2 linked regions of the Drosophila melanogaster genome follow. The protein of the gene in region 2 interacts with the protein of the main gene of each other region in a biochemical or structural test. Each region holds a gene or a part of one and is shown on either strand. Other genes may lie near its edges.

The links. Proteins that work in one complex are often made in the same cells at the same time.
Region 1: the proteins of tub (region 2) and Myd88 form a complex in vitro, tested with the Drosophila melanogaster proteins (one study listed by BioGRID).

Annotation. Positions count from the first base shown.
Region 1 is NT_033778.4:9,302,414-9,310,681, forward strand, and holds Myd88 (Myd88), read right to left. Parts: upstream 6,310-8,268; 5' UTR 5,382-6,309; coding exon 4,856-5,381; intron 3,344-4,855; coding exon 3,054-3,343; intron 2,990-3,053; coding exon 2,821-2,989; intron 2,748-2,820; coding exon 2,561-2,747; intron 1,923-2,560; coding exon 1,481-1,922; 3' UTR 410-1,480; downstream 1-409.
Region 2 is NT_033777.3:4,385,882-4,390,469, forward strand, and holds tub (tube), read left to right. Parts: upstream 1-1,860; 5' UTR 1,861-2,048; coding exon 2,049-2,511; intron 2,512-2,577; coding exon 2,578-3,503; 3' UTR 3,504-3,932; downstream 3,933-4,588. Other genes in the region: Cont (contactin), read left to right, coding at 1-112, 169-337, 399-532, 588-881; CG14646 (uncharacterized protein), read left to right, coding at 4,545-4,588. UniProt on the Drosophila melanogaster protein: Plays an essential role in the Tl receptor signaling pathway that establishes embryonic dorsoventral polarity; the signal directs import of dl into ventral and ventrolateral nuclei, thereby establishing dorsoventral polarity.

The DNA.
Region 1 (8,268 bases), on a different chromosome or scaffold from region 2:
ATTCAATTAAAAGTAACGAAACGAAACAAAACAAAACAAGACAAAAAAAAAAAAACAAAGTTTAAAGAACAAGCTCAAGTCGCAAGGAGCAGTAAGGCTAAAAAAAAAACATATTTGTTCACAGTGTAAATTGTAACACACAGAGAGCGAAATTAACGCAGGTTGCGATAAAGTGAGGAATGTGAGCGAGGAGCTATTATTAAAACATTAAACGATTTAAACAATAAAAAAACGAAAATAAATAAAACAAAAAAAATACAAAAAATTTAAACCGATTCGAACTGTCTTGTAGATTAACCGGAACTGGTCGATAAACATTTCCACTCAATATGTACGCGAACAACTGTATGTAAATACATATACGGGGATTCACACATCAACTGCAATGTTTATTAAACATGAACGAACTAAAGGTTGTCTACATTCAACAATAAATTATTGAGCCAAACATTGAACAGTTTATTGCCGCTCAACTGGAGCTAGCTTATTTCCGATATGGATACAGTGCGTTTCATAACCATGACCGCCAAGTGCCACGTGTCGCGAAGGTCGAAGTTCGAGCGTTCGATGCCCGACATTGAGGAACATATGTATATTGCGTTTTATCCACATTCGTTGTCGCTTGACAAAAGTTGGACATAATATATGGTTGTCGATCGACTCTATATGGTTTTGAAACGCACTGTCCGGAGATACATATAATACTATATAGACTCTAGATACATTGAAAGAGACGATGTGATGATGGATGACGTATTGATAGTCTTTGCTTTATAACAAGTGAGTGTGCTTAGGTGCACATCAGGCATATGGGCACGCATTCACAGCAATCAGTAACAATCGGTAACAGCTAGGCTAGAGCTAATCACATGAGGCAACCAGCCGATGGCGGTACCGAGAACAAACAGTTTACTTATTGCTAGCAATCGTCTAAAACGGCTTGAGCAGTTTACAAAATGATAAAGCACTGCTCGCACAATGCAGCCATATGTACGTATGCGTTATATATGCTCATTACTCATTCTCAGATGGGGTCTGAGTTGCGAGAACGGCGCGCGAGATAATTAAATTAAGTAAGTCACTTATCGAACGCGTGACTAACAGTTAATTGAGCACTTCGATTAGCAGTGTCGCGTATTTAACCTCACTCAACGCAATTGCCAATTTGTCTGTTTATCAAGTCCAGAGTCATATACATAGAGCATATAGCAATATCGTGTCGTATTTGGTAGTCTGTGTGCTTTTGTGATACATTTGTGCGGATATGTGGTATTGTCTTTATTCGTTGTTGTCTTATATAAGTTAACAAGTGCGTCTAAGTATATTAAGTTAGTTGACTTGATAAGGATTAGGCTAAAGATTATCACTAGGCATGGAGGGTGACGACATTGGTGACTGGGCGGCCACAACTAGACTGGGCACACGACAAGGAATCAAAGAATCGAGAAATCGAATGAATGGCTATCCTAACACTATGATCTCAGCCCGGCGTCTGCAGCTTGCTGCTGGATCGCGAGAATAGGGCCTTCTTCAGGATGTTCGGCTGCCACTTGATGAAGCTCTTCTTGCTCTCCGACGTGGTGGAGATGTTGGAGCTGCTGGCACTGAGTGTCCTCTCGCGTTCCGTGACATTTATGGTGCTGACGGAGTGGGCATGACGCAGAGTCTTGCCGCTGGCCCCATCGCTCCGCGCCGTCTTTCCAAAGCTGTGCGTGATTCTGCGCAGGAAGCGATCCTTTTTCTTCGGCTTGTGCTCCGGCAGGGGTGAGCCGGTGTCACCGGAAACCGAAACGATTGTGGTCTCCGCCTCCGGCACTTTGCAGCTGTTGTAGTTTGGCATATCAGTGACATCCTTGTCGTTGATCTGAATCCGAATGCTGGGAGTGGTCACCCGGGGAGCCGATTCCTCCACCGGCGAGGGACTGCATAAAGAAATTTTAGAGAATGCCAAATTTATGATATGAGTGATAAAATTCCAACATGTTTTACAATTAACAGCAAAACTAATTTCGCTTCAATATAATCTTACGCCCAGATATATAATACATTTATTTCCTGTTTATAAATTTGTTTCAAATTTGATTACTCATATGCAGTGTATTACTTCCTGGGCACTTTAAAAGTCGTATGAGTTCATCTTTCTGAAACAAACGTATCTTCTTTGAATTTAGCAAAACTAAATAAAAATACCTGCTAGGCTGTTCTAAGGTTGATCGCTCGTACGCCATGTGATATTTGCTTATATATTTTGTTTACAAGCAGTTGGTATACATTTGCACATTTTATGTGAATGTTGTGAAACGATTTCGCAGCCCCTACAACCAGCAGTAGCAATAATTGAACAGTAAAATCAAAAACTTAAGCTAATAAAATGTATTCTAAAACAGCTTCTTAAATTGGGATGACTAGACTACTTCATGTATTCGTATTCAGTTTGCAAACCTCATTTATCTGTTGGCTAGCAATCTACATTATCTTGAGATTTTATACCCCTAAAAATGTATCAAGTATTTTTGGAACACATACATATACATATATCGCAGGAAGTAGCAACACTTACGTCTGCACCTGGCGCGTGGAGTAGATCGAAAAGGCATCCAGATCGTGTAGGGAACGAGCCAACTTGTCCCAGAAGTTGAACAACTTGGAGTCCCCGGCGTACTTGATGTGCGTGTAAATGCCCAGGGTCTGGGGTATGTGCATGTCCGTTTTGTACAGAATCGGTATGATCTTGCGAGTGTGATTCTCTGGGGAAAGTCAGATCGTTGAACTTGTAATGCGACTCTGGCTCTGCGATACAAATGCGTATCAGCTACTCACCAATCTGGATCTTTTGGGTGAAGTTCACGAGGTACGTGTTCTCCGGACTCCGAAGAAACTCCTCTGTGAGCACGACGATCAGGTGATTGCAGCGGGTGGCCATGAAATGGGATAGCTGGACATGCTCGAACGGAACGCCCATTAGCATGTCGCGGTGGCGCAGGAATAGCTGCAATAGAACGATCCCATGGTTATTTAATACAACACACAGCAACCGAGCGCATCCCACTCACCCTGAGATTGTATCGCTCAGACTCTAGATTATTCATGATCTCGGTGGCATGATCGATGTCTGCCTCCGCGTACAGAACACATGCGTTGTATCTGGGCAGCGGTTGGCCCATCTGTACACATCTCTGGTCCTCGTCGCTGAGGATCTGCACACTTTGGCCCACTGTGATGTTGTTGCTGCTGCTGTAGTTGTTGTTGGTCTCGAAGCAGTCGCTGGGGGGCGGCGGACACGCCTCCACGAGAGCAGTCTGTCGCTGCTCCTGTTTCATGATGAAGCGCTGGGTGTCCTTGGCTTTTGAGGAGAGCAAAATTAAAACAGTTTTACTAAAGGGATTATGATTGCTAAAAACTACAAGGCCGCACAAAAAGTTTTCTTAACACATCATTCGTAAAGTAAACAACACAATTTATACATGTTAATGTCAAAATCAAATTACTTAAATTATGTTTATTAAATAATAAATATAACCCTTTGTTGATATATAATGAGCTTAAAGGAATGGCATAGTGAAGTTTATCTGAGTTTCTGCACACAGTCGCTAATATATGAAGCTTTCATAACAAATTGGTAGTATTTATGATTTGTAACTCAATATTATGTATGAATAGATAAGTGTATGCATATATCCATTCAGATGTCTGCCATTGTCTCCCCATCTTTTTATTCCAAATATATTGTCAGCAGAAAAGATCATTCTAGTAAGAGGTAGTGAATTCTAGATTCAAGCAGTTATCATCAACGACACATTTATAAAAAATTTACTTTTTTAGTTATTTTTAGTTTTATTGGAATATTTCTAAAACACCCAATGAAAGATCATTAGAAAAGGAATTCAAACATTTCCTTTGAAAAATTCCTAATACGATTTTAATTATGTGTGCTTTTTTATACCTTAAGCATTCAACTTCCGAGTGCGTTCATTTGTTTTTAAATCGAACCATTTTGGTCACAACGAATATATCTATACAACATCTGCTCCTAAACAAAATTGACTGTTCGAGGTTTTTTATTAATGACAACAGTTTTTGCTGGGTGAATCCCCATTGTGCAAATAAATAAGAAAATTTCGTTCTTAACTGATTGGCATTTTCTATAGTTTAAGTTCTGTTGTTTGCGGCTTTTAGAAATTATTGTTTTGAATTTTTTCTTTATGGCTGTGTGTTTTTCAATTTGTCGGGATGTGGTAATAAAAATCTTGTAAGTCGAAGCGTTTTATTTGACAATAAATAGAAATAAACACAAATTAATCATGGGAAAGTGGGTGACTTTTATTTCTGTCATTACGTATCTACTCATCATAACTCAATAGTTTTATGTATCCGACGATAAGCTTTGTTTGACTTAGATAAATGTGCGATAGATAAGTTAAATATGTACGCTTTCTGCATATACTCCCTATATTATATAGATTACCACGTCCATTTTTATAAACTCGAAACGGCTTTTCCGGTCATAAAACCAAAAATGGATCAGCCAAAAATAATTGATAAGTGTGGCTCGCCATTAAAGTAAAATTTAATGGTTCATTTTCCGATTTCCAACATTTGTGTACATATCATTTGATAAGTACATTATTTAAAATTCCTCTTCAACTTCGCAAACTCGAGAACAGTCAAACATACATAGTTAGTCTAGACGTTTAACTAAATTTTCACTGTCACGATGGCATTTTGAAGTAAAAGTCGAATCGTCAGACCATCATTTAAAAGCTAATCTAAAACAAATGATACTCAAAACTCAAGTGACATAGTTTAGTTATAGATAGATAGCGACTACCATAAGTAAAAAATAGTTAATGCCTACCCAGATTCTCCTGGATATCGTCGCAGACGTCCCACCGATCGATAATGCCCAGGAAGTGTTCCAGATGGCCCACCTTGGCGGTCTGGGGACTCCGCTGGCTCCAGCTGATCAGCACCAGATCCATGGGATTGTTGGCGTTCTCGTCGACGAATCCCTTCTGCTTGGCCAGCTCCGAGATGCCGCGCCAGTCCCGCTGGTAGCCCTCCTCGGATCGCAGCACCTTCTTGCGGTTCAGCATGCGGGACAGCTGGGTGCGGGTCTCGATGCCCAGTGCGGATAATGGGGTCTCGTTGAAGTGCCCCAAGCCCGTTCCCGTGCCCGATCCCGACCCGGAGTCCATAACTCCCTCGGCCACCACCATGCCAGCGGTGCGATAACGCCGATAACTGACGTCAGTGGCGCCGTAAATGTGATGGTGATGGGGCGGATTGGGATGGCGGTGGGTATGGTGATGGAAGTGGGAGTGGGGCTGGTAGTGGGAATGGGCCACCGAGTGCTGCTGATGGCATACAAATCGAGGGCGCATTCGCACTTGGCGCTGGCTTTATTGGAATAATTGGTGTTTGTTTGCTGGCGTATTTGTTTTAGTGTGGATGCGATGTGATGCGATATATATTTATCAACTGACGTTTATCAGTCGAGAGGGCGGCGAGCAATAAAACGATGAAGCGCGTGAGTTGTGCTGCTCTGTAGATTTTTTCGAGTTTTCCGATCGCGCGTGCTTGTTTTTTTTTTGTTTTTTGCGGGCGGATGAAGCTGAAACTGGTTAGAAGGGGGTGGTGCTTTACTGCTAAACTTCTATACTTCAGTGCGGTGCGAAATGGACCGAGTGACCTCCAGCACCTTGCCGCGTCACAGTCGCGTTGTTGTTGCTGTCTCGGATTCTGTTTTTATTTATCTGTCTGCTCCGCTGCGAGAGGAGATGGAGATCTTCGCCTTCGTTTTCGTCGCGTTTTTTATTCGTCTGGCGTATGATTTTTTGAATATTGTTTAAATATACACAACACACACACTCACAATCAGTGGCGCACGCACACAGTGTCGCCCTAAGCACAGAAATAAATTCGTTTCGCTTTTTTCGAGTGCGTCCGCTCCGGTTTGTTGTTTTGTTTCGACTGGTTCTGTCCGCCGTTTGTGCTTTTGTTTCTGCCTCGTTGTCCGCTCCTCCTCCGCCTCCTCCCCAACGGACTACTCTTCGCGCTCACTCTCCCGCGCTCTTTCTCCACCGCCTTTCACTCGCTTGTTTATTTTGGTTTCGTTCCGATGCAGGGCGAAAGCGCGGGGGCCACAGGCGGAACTATCAGCTCAGCTGCTTTTTCTAGTCGGCTGACAACACTCTGTTTGCACTGGCTAATTGCTAATTAATTTATCTGCGCTGCGTTCCCACTTTTCAGATCAGATCGCGATTCCGATAAGCTCGTGGCGATCGATGGGCAAAAGCTTGGCGAGTCACAGCTTTTCGGGTGGCCAGTCATCGGCGAGGTTTGGTACTTTATCGGGGCCAGTTATCGGTTGCGGTATTTTTGGTGCGCGGGCCACACTTTAATAGGTTCCAAAAGCATTCACCAGATGGCGCTCTAAGAGTGGTTGACTTAATTTCCGGTTGGTTAAATATAATTTAGGAACGTTGGTTCTTGCCGTAGGATTCCTAATTATTCATAAGCATAATTGATAATGATTTCTTGCTAGTGCAAAAGCAAGAAGAGTAGTAAAGTGAGTAAAAACGCACTCTCCTATTCGACCGGCTGATGTAGGCAATCTAACTCCTTTCAGTTATGCAGAGAATGGTACCTTTAATGGTGCCTCAAAAAGGAATATTTTACATTTCGACCTGTCCAAGACATACTTACTCATTTTACCGAGAAATATTGCTTCCCCGAAATCAACTGATTTGAGACGATAATGTGGGGAAATGAACATGCCAACCAAGGACCACACTCTCGTAAATAATAGTCAGAGAGCACTTGTAAATTCAGTTTATTTTCATTTGATTTTGTTTGTTCTTTGTGTGGTTGATGCCTGCACCTCAACGCTTTTCATTTTCAGTTACAAATACTGAGATATACTTACTACACAGGTGACACAAATTGATTTATCGCTTTTATGGCTTTGTTTGACTTTTTCTTTCGATTCAACATTTCTTGCTTTGCTTGATGAATAAAACGCTGAAGGCGTTCAAATGTATTTTAAATATATTTGTTTTGCTTTTTCATGGTTTATTTTTGTAGTTTTCGTTTTTCGGTCGGCGTTGCGTTTTGCATTGCCAGCAACAATTAACAGTAAAAGTTGATGCCTTGCACACAAGTTGAAGTTGAAGTTACCTGCTTTTGTTTGAATTCCGTTGTTAATTTATTTAATGTTGATTTACTCGGATAAGCCCCATCATTAGTTATTAATGTACCTACTTGGTATTTACTCATTTGGTTTGTTTGTGGCTCTATTTACAATACATCTGCCTGTGTGTGGTGTGGTTTGTGTGTCTTTCTTTGTATTTCGTTCATTTTTCACTTGTAAATAATTGCTCAAACTGGATTGGGCACCAAAAGTCTCTCGTTCAAAGGCTAAAAAGTTTGATTTTTTTCTCGAGAAATAATTTCGTTATTCATTAATTTATGCTTGCTGCGTGTTTGTGTTTAACCTGTGTCATTATTCAATATTCATTGGTATTTCGCCCTAGAACGTTTCGAGTATTTCAATTACATCAATTTACTTGCTTCGATTGTAGTTGTTTGTATAATAATTCAGCTTACATTTTTACACTTAGCTAGCCATAAATATAGACATTAGTTGTGTTCTTTTAATTAGGTCTCCCCTACCTCCTTCATTCAGTTAATCTCCTTTTTACTTTCGTTAGTTTAAGCATGCAGTTAAATCAATTTTGCAAACCTAGTGGATATGCTCTGCCCCATGTGTTAAATGCAATTACTAAGTATATTGTTGTTTGATTGTATATACTAAATATCCTTTGTGACTGCCTGGCGACAAATTTGATTATTTTAGCCTCTGTTTTAGCCTGTGTGTATTTGTGGTCAAATTCGAATGGCTTTCTGGGCCAAAATGCGTATCTTACAAATCTGAATGAGGTGTGTGATTCTTTGTCCCAGATGTACTTGCATTGCATTTAACAACGACCCGCTCTAAGTAGATTAAATGTTTAAGTTTACAATTTATTGAGCTAATTTAAAGCTTTCCATTTGTTTTCGCCCTGCCCGCCATTGAAATTCCGCTTCCCTGCTCGCCAAATGGCTTAAAAACAAATAAATTCGTATACAGAGAAAACTAATTGTAAGGAAAAGCTGAAACTGTCCAACTATAAAATCACGTAATTTACCTGAAACATGTGCTCTTAAATCAGATATTTATTGCAAATAATTTAGCCAGTTTTTAGTTAAGAGTTAACCGTATCAGTTTTG
Region 2 (4,588 bases):
GGCTCCTCAAAAGCCCATTGCGCTCGCCTACAACTCCACATGCTTTAATGTCACTTGGCAACCTATAGACATGTCCCGTGAAAACATTCGTGGCAAACTCATTGGCCACAGGGTATGGTTACTGCACTTAATTCCATTGCATTGTCAAAAACCCTTATCTTTCACCAGTTGAAGTATTGGAAAACGACGCACCAGGAAGAAGACTCGGTATACTACCTGTCACGTACTACAAGGAATTGGGCGCTTATCGTAGGTCTACAACCAGATACTTACTACTTTGTTAAAGTCATGGCTTACAATGCTGCAGGTGAAGGACCTGAAAGCGAACGCTTTGAAGGTGTGTAACGAACAGTTTAAAAAACCATTTAAAGAAAATGCTTAAACACCATGCTTTTTAGAACGAACATATAGAAAGGCCCCGCAAAAGCCGCCATCTTCGGTTCACGTGTATGGAATAAACCCGTCTACCGTGCGGGTTGTTTGGAGATATGTTTCACCTTCGCAAGACGAGGAACCAGTAGAGGGTTATAAGGTACAACTCCCGGCACCGTGACCAAGAAAATCGATTACAGTTTGAAACTTTCTAGGTTCGCATTTGGGAATCGGACCAGAACATGATTACGGCCAACAATACCATAGTGCCAATCGGACAGAAACTGGAGTCGTACATCAACAATCTGACGCCAGGGAAGAGTTACAACATGCGAGTCCTCGCATACAGCAATGGAGGAGACGGTCGCATGTCCAGTCCAACTTTACACTTCCAGATGGGCAAGACCACGCGCAACGGCGCAAATACCCGACATGGCCACAATATCAATACGGCTCTTATCTTAAGCACATTGCTACTCATTAGCACCTTTCTTTACACAAGCCAATGAATGCAGCACAAATTAAGATCCATAACTTTAGGCAGTAAGAACATACATATACTAAGAAGTGACCTTATATTTGAGTAAGTGAAGTTATAAAAAGAACTACATTCCATCCGTGCTCTCTTGCAAGCCCCTTAATTGATACAAATGCAATTCCGTCCATTTTATAGACTTTTATCAAAAAATAATTTCTAAAATTTTATCAACAAAATAAATATGAATACCATTATATGGTCCAGTATGTTGCTGAACTAAAAATAACAATATCCCTATTTTTTTACTTGGAATAATGAATTATGAATTAATTATGAACGTGTGCCCCGGTTGGCCATATTTATGTCCCTTTTTGTTCACCTGGTAATACTACTCCTGCATTTTATACCCGATACTCGTGAAGTAAAAGGGTATACCAGACTAGTTAAAAAATATGTAGCAGGTAGAAGAGGTCTTGATCAGGATCGATCTGGCCATGTCCGTCCCTATGGACGTCGAGATCTCAGAAACTATCACAAATCAAAATTAATTATTGTCCAAAAATATCAAAAAGAACTAAGAACTAAGTGTTTATTTTTGGTTTTTCGATTATTTATTTTGCTGCTATTTCATCGCCCGCGTAAAACGGGCGGACATGGCTATATCGACTTGTCTGTTTTTACTGATTAAGAATATTTAATACTTATATATATGTATACGTAAATGTCTATTCGAATTTCCTTTCTACCAGGTACCCGGTATTCTTCTACAATTACAAACGAAAGCCATCTATCGGTGGGGTTACATTTATTGCTCACAACGCCGGAATATGTCATTAATGAAAAAAAAAGTTTGGTTTTTTCTTACTTTGCGTTAAAAATTAGTGCAGTATTGCAAATGGCTAGCTATTTTCCGCATACGGAAATACCACACAATACCAATCGGCTTCGGGAATCCCCCTAATATTACATGACGAATCTAATATGGTGCTGCGGTCCTCCTCGGTCACACTGAAATACTGCGAGCAGCGAGCAGTAGCTGTGGGCATTGGCAAAAACATAGAGAGAGAAGATAGATGCAAACATGGTTTTATAGCGGAAATCTCATACAATCGCACTGGACATCTGGGAACTTGAACCATCGACCTGCCACAGGCAAAGGCTTTCCCGTAAGGTTATCCTGGGTAGCTAAGGGAACACCATGGCGTATGGCTGGAACGGATGCGGAATGGGCGTGCAGGTGAACGGAAGCAACGGCGCCATAGGTTTATCCTCGAAGTATTCTCGCAACACGGAGCTGCGACGCGTTGAGGACAATGACATTTACCGGCTTGCCAAAATACTAGATGAGAACTCATGCTGGCGCAAATTGATGTCGATCATACCCAAGGGCATGGATGTGCAGGCCTGCAGCGGAGCCGGATGCTTGAATTTTCCGGCGGAAATCAAAAAGGGATTTAAGTACACTGCGCAGGACGTGTTCCAGATTGACGAGGCTGCAAACCGACTACCGCCGGACCAAAGCAAGTCGCAGATGATGATCGACGAGTGGAAGACCTCTGGCAAGCTCAACGAGCGGCCCACGGTTGGGGTATTGCTCCAACTTCTGGTGCAGGCAGAGCTCTTCAGTGCGGCAGACTTTGTGGCACTAGACTTCCTAAATGGCAAGTATGACTATGTTTGCCTTAAACTGACAAAACTAAAAAAAGTGTATCCACTGACTTCTCTAGAGTCCACCCCTGCCCGGCCTGTTGACGGTCCCGGTGCGCTCATAAGCCTTGAGCTGCTGGAAGAGGAAATGGAAGTGGACAACGAGGGGCTGAGCCTCAAATACCAGTCAAGCACTGCCACTCTTGGGGCAGACGCTCAAGGTAGCGTTGGCCTGAACCTGGACAACTTTGAAAAAGACATTGTGAGGCGGGACAAGAGTGTGCCCCAGCCGTCAGGAAACACCCCTCCCATAGCGCCACCTCGACGACAGCAAAGGAGTACTACTAACTCCAACTTTGCAACATTGACAGGCACCGGAACTACGTCGACGACCATCCCGAATGTGCCCAATCTGACAATTCTCAATCCCAGCGAACAAATTCAGGAGCCAGTGCTGCAGCCACGACCGATGAACATCCCCGATCTGTCTATACTCATTTCGAACTCTGGTGATTTGCGGGCAACTGTGTCGGACAACCCAAGCAACAGAACTAGCTCAACGGATCCGCCTAACATTCCGCGAATCACTCTTTTAATTGATAATTCTGGAGATGTAAACTCTCGACCAAATCACGCTCCAGCGAAAGCTTCAACGGCTACCACATCAACGGCGAGCTCAAACAACTTGCCAATGATAAGCGCCTTGAATATAAGTAAAGGCAGCAGGGAGACCTTGCGTCCTGAGAGCAGAAGCAGCTCCAGCAGCTTGAGCAAAGATGATGACGATGATAACGATGGTGAGGAGGATGGAGAGGAAGAGTACCCAGATGCCTTCTTGCCAAATCTGAGTAACTCAGAGCAGCAGAGCTCAAACAATGACTCCAGCCTGACAACGGTTACTGGCACCAGTGGTGATAACAGCTTTGAGCTAACCAACGACTCCAGCTCCACCTCAAACGACGATTACGCTTGCAACATTCCAGACTTGAGTGAGCTGCAGCAATAGATAAAAGCACCGACCATCGGCGGAGATGACATTCCGTTCGATAACTTATGCAACCCAGATGTATTCATTTGGCAGCTGGGTGTGGACCTTCTTATGTTATGCATGAGGTCCAACTAGAATCTAAGATTCAGTGCACGATTTGTTCATATCACGTCTGTAATCGTGACAGTACATGACAAGTACGGCAATATCAAATATTTCCGTTTCAAGAAAGCCATAACCCAATACCAAAATTTAACAAATTTTGTATACTTACGAAATACTCCTTCATTTTCTAGTATAAATTTCCTTAAACGCATAATGGGTTTCTGTGACAGTTTTGTCTTGGGACAAACTGCGATCTTATGACATTTTTCGTTATTAATTGATTGTTGCCTAAAATATTTCACAAGTACGATATAATGGCTAAATACAAATAAAATATTTTTGAAAACATTGTCTGTTTTTCTCGACGTTCATACTGATAATATACCACATGACCGCTTAAGTCAAAGCCTTTTTCAGGGCTGTAAGTTCAAGAGTTTAAGGCGACTGTTTTTTCTCGGTGAAAAAACTTTAGGTTTTTCAAATGAACGAATGCATTTTGTATGTAATTTTTGTACTATTTTATTTATGTGCACAGGTTAGTTTCGTTTAGTTACTAAATTAATACACTGTTGTCCGTTCCAAAATGTACACTTACCTTTCTCCTCGGATGACATGTCCATTGCCTTTTCCGTATAACTGCAAATTTTTGATTTTAATTGTTTTATTTTTGTTGTTCGAAACAGCAAACAGTATTACTCCACATTTGCTCTAATGCCCCGTGCCCGTGGCACGCAGAATAGTCGATCTTCAAACTGCTGACAATTAAAAATGTCTCGCACCTTGTTTTTATTTAAATTCTCATTTGCTATGGCGGGCGCGGTACGATATTGGTCCCGTGCTATCGCGTACCATTCATAATATCGATATCTTAAGAACAATAATCGGGAATTTGTTGGACACCTCTAGTGTTCGACGAAACCACTGAGCCAAACAAAATCCGAAATTATTCGCAACATGGACGAGTCGGAGCTGCTATTCAATCTGTTTTATATTCTGTT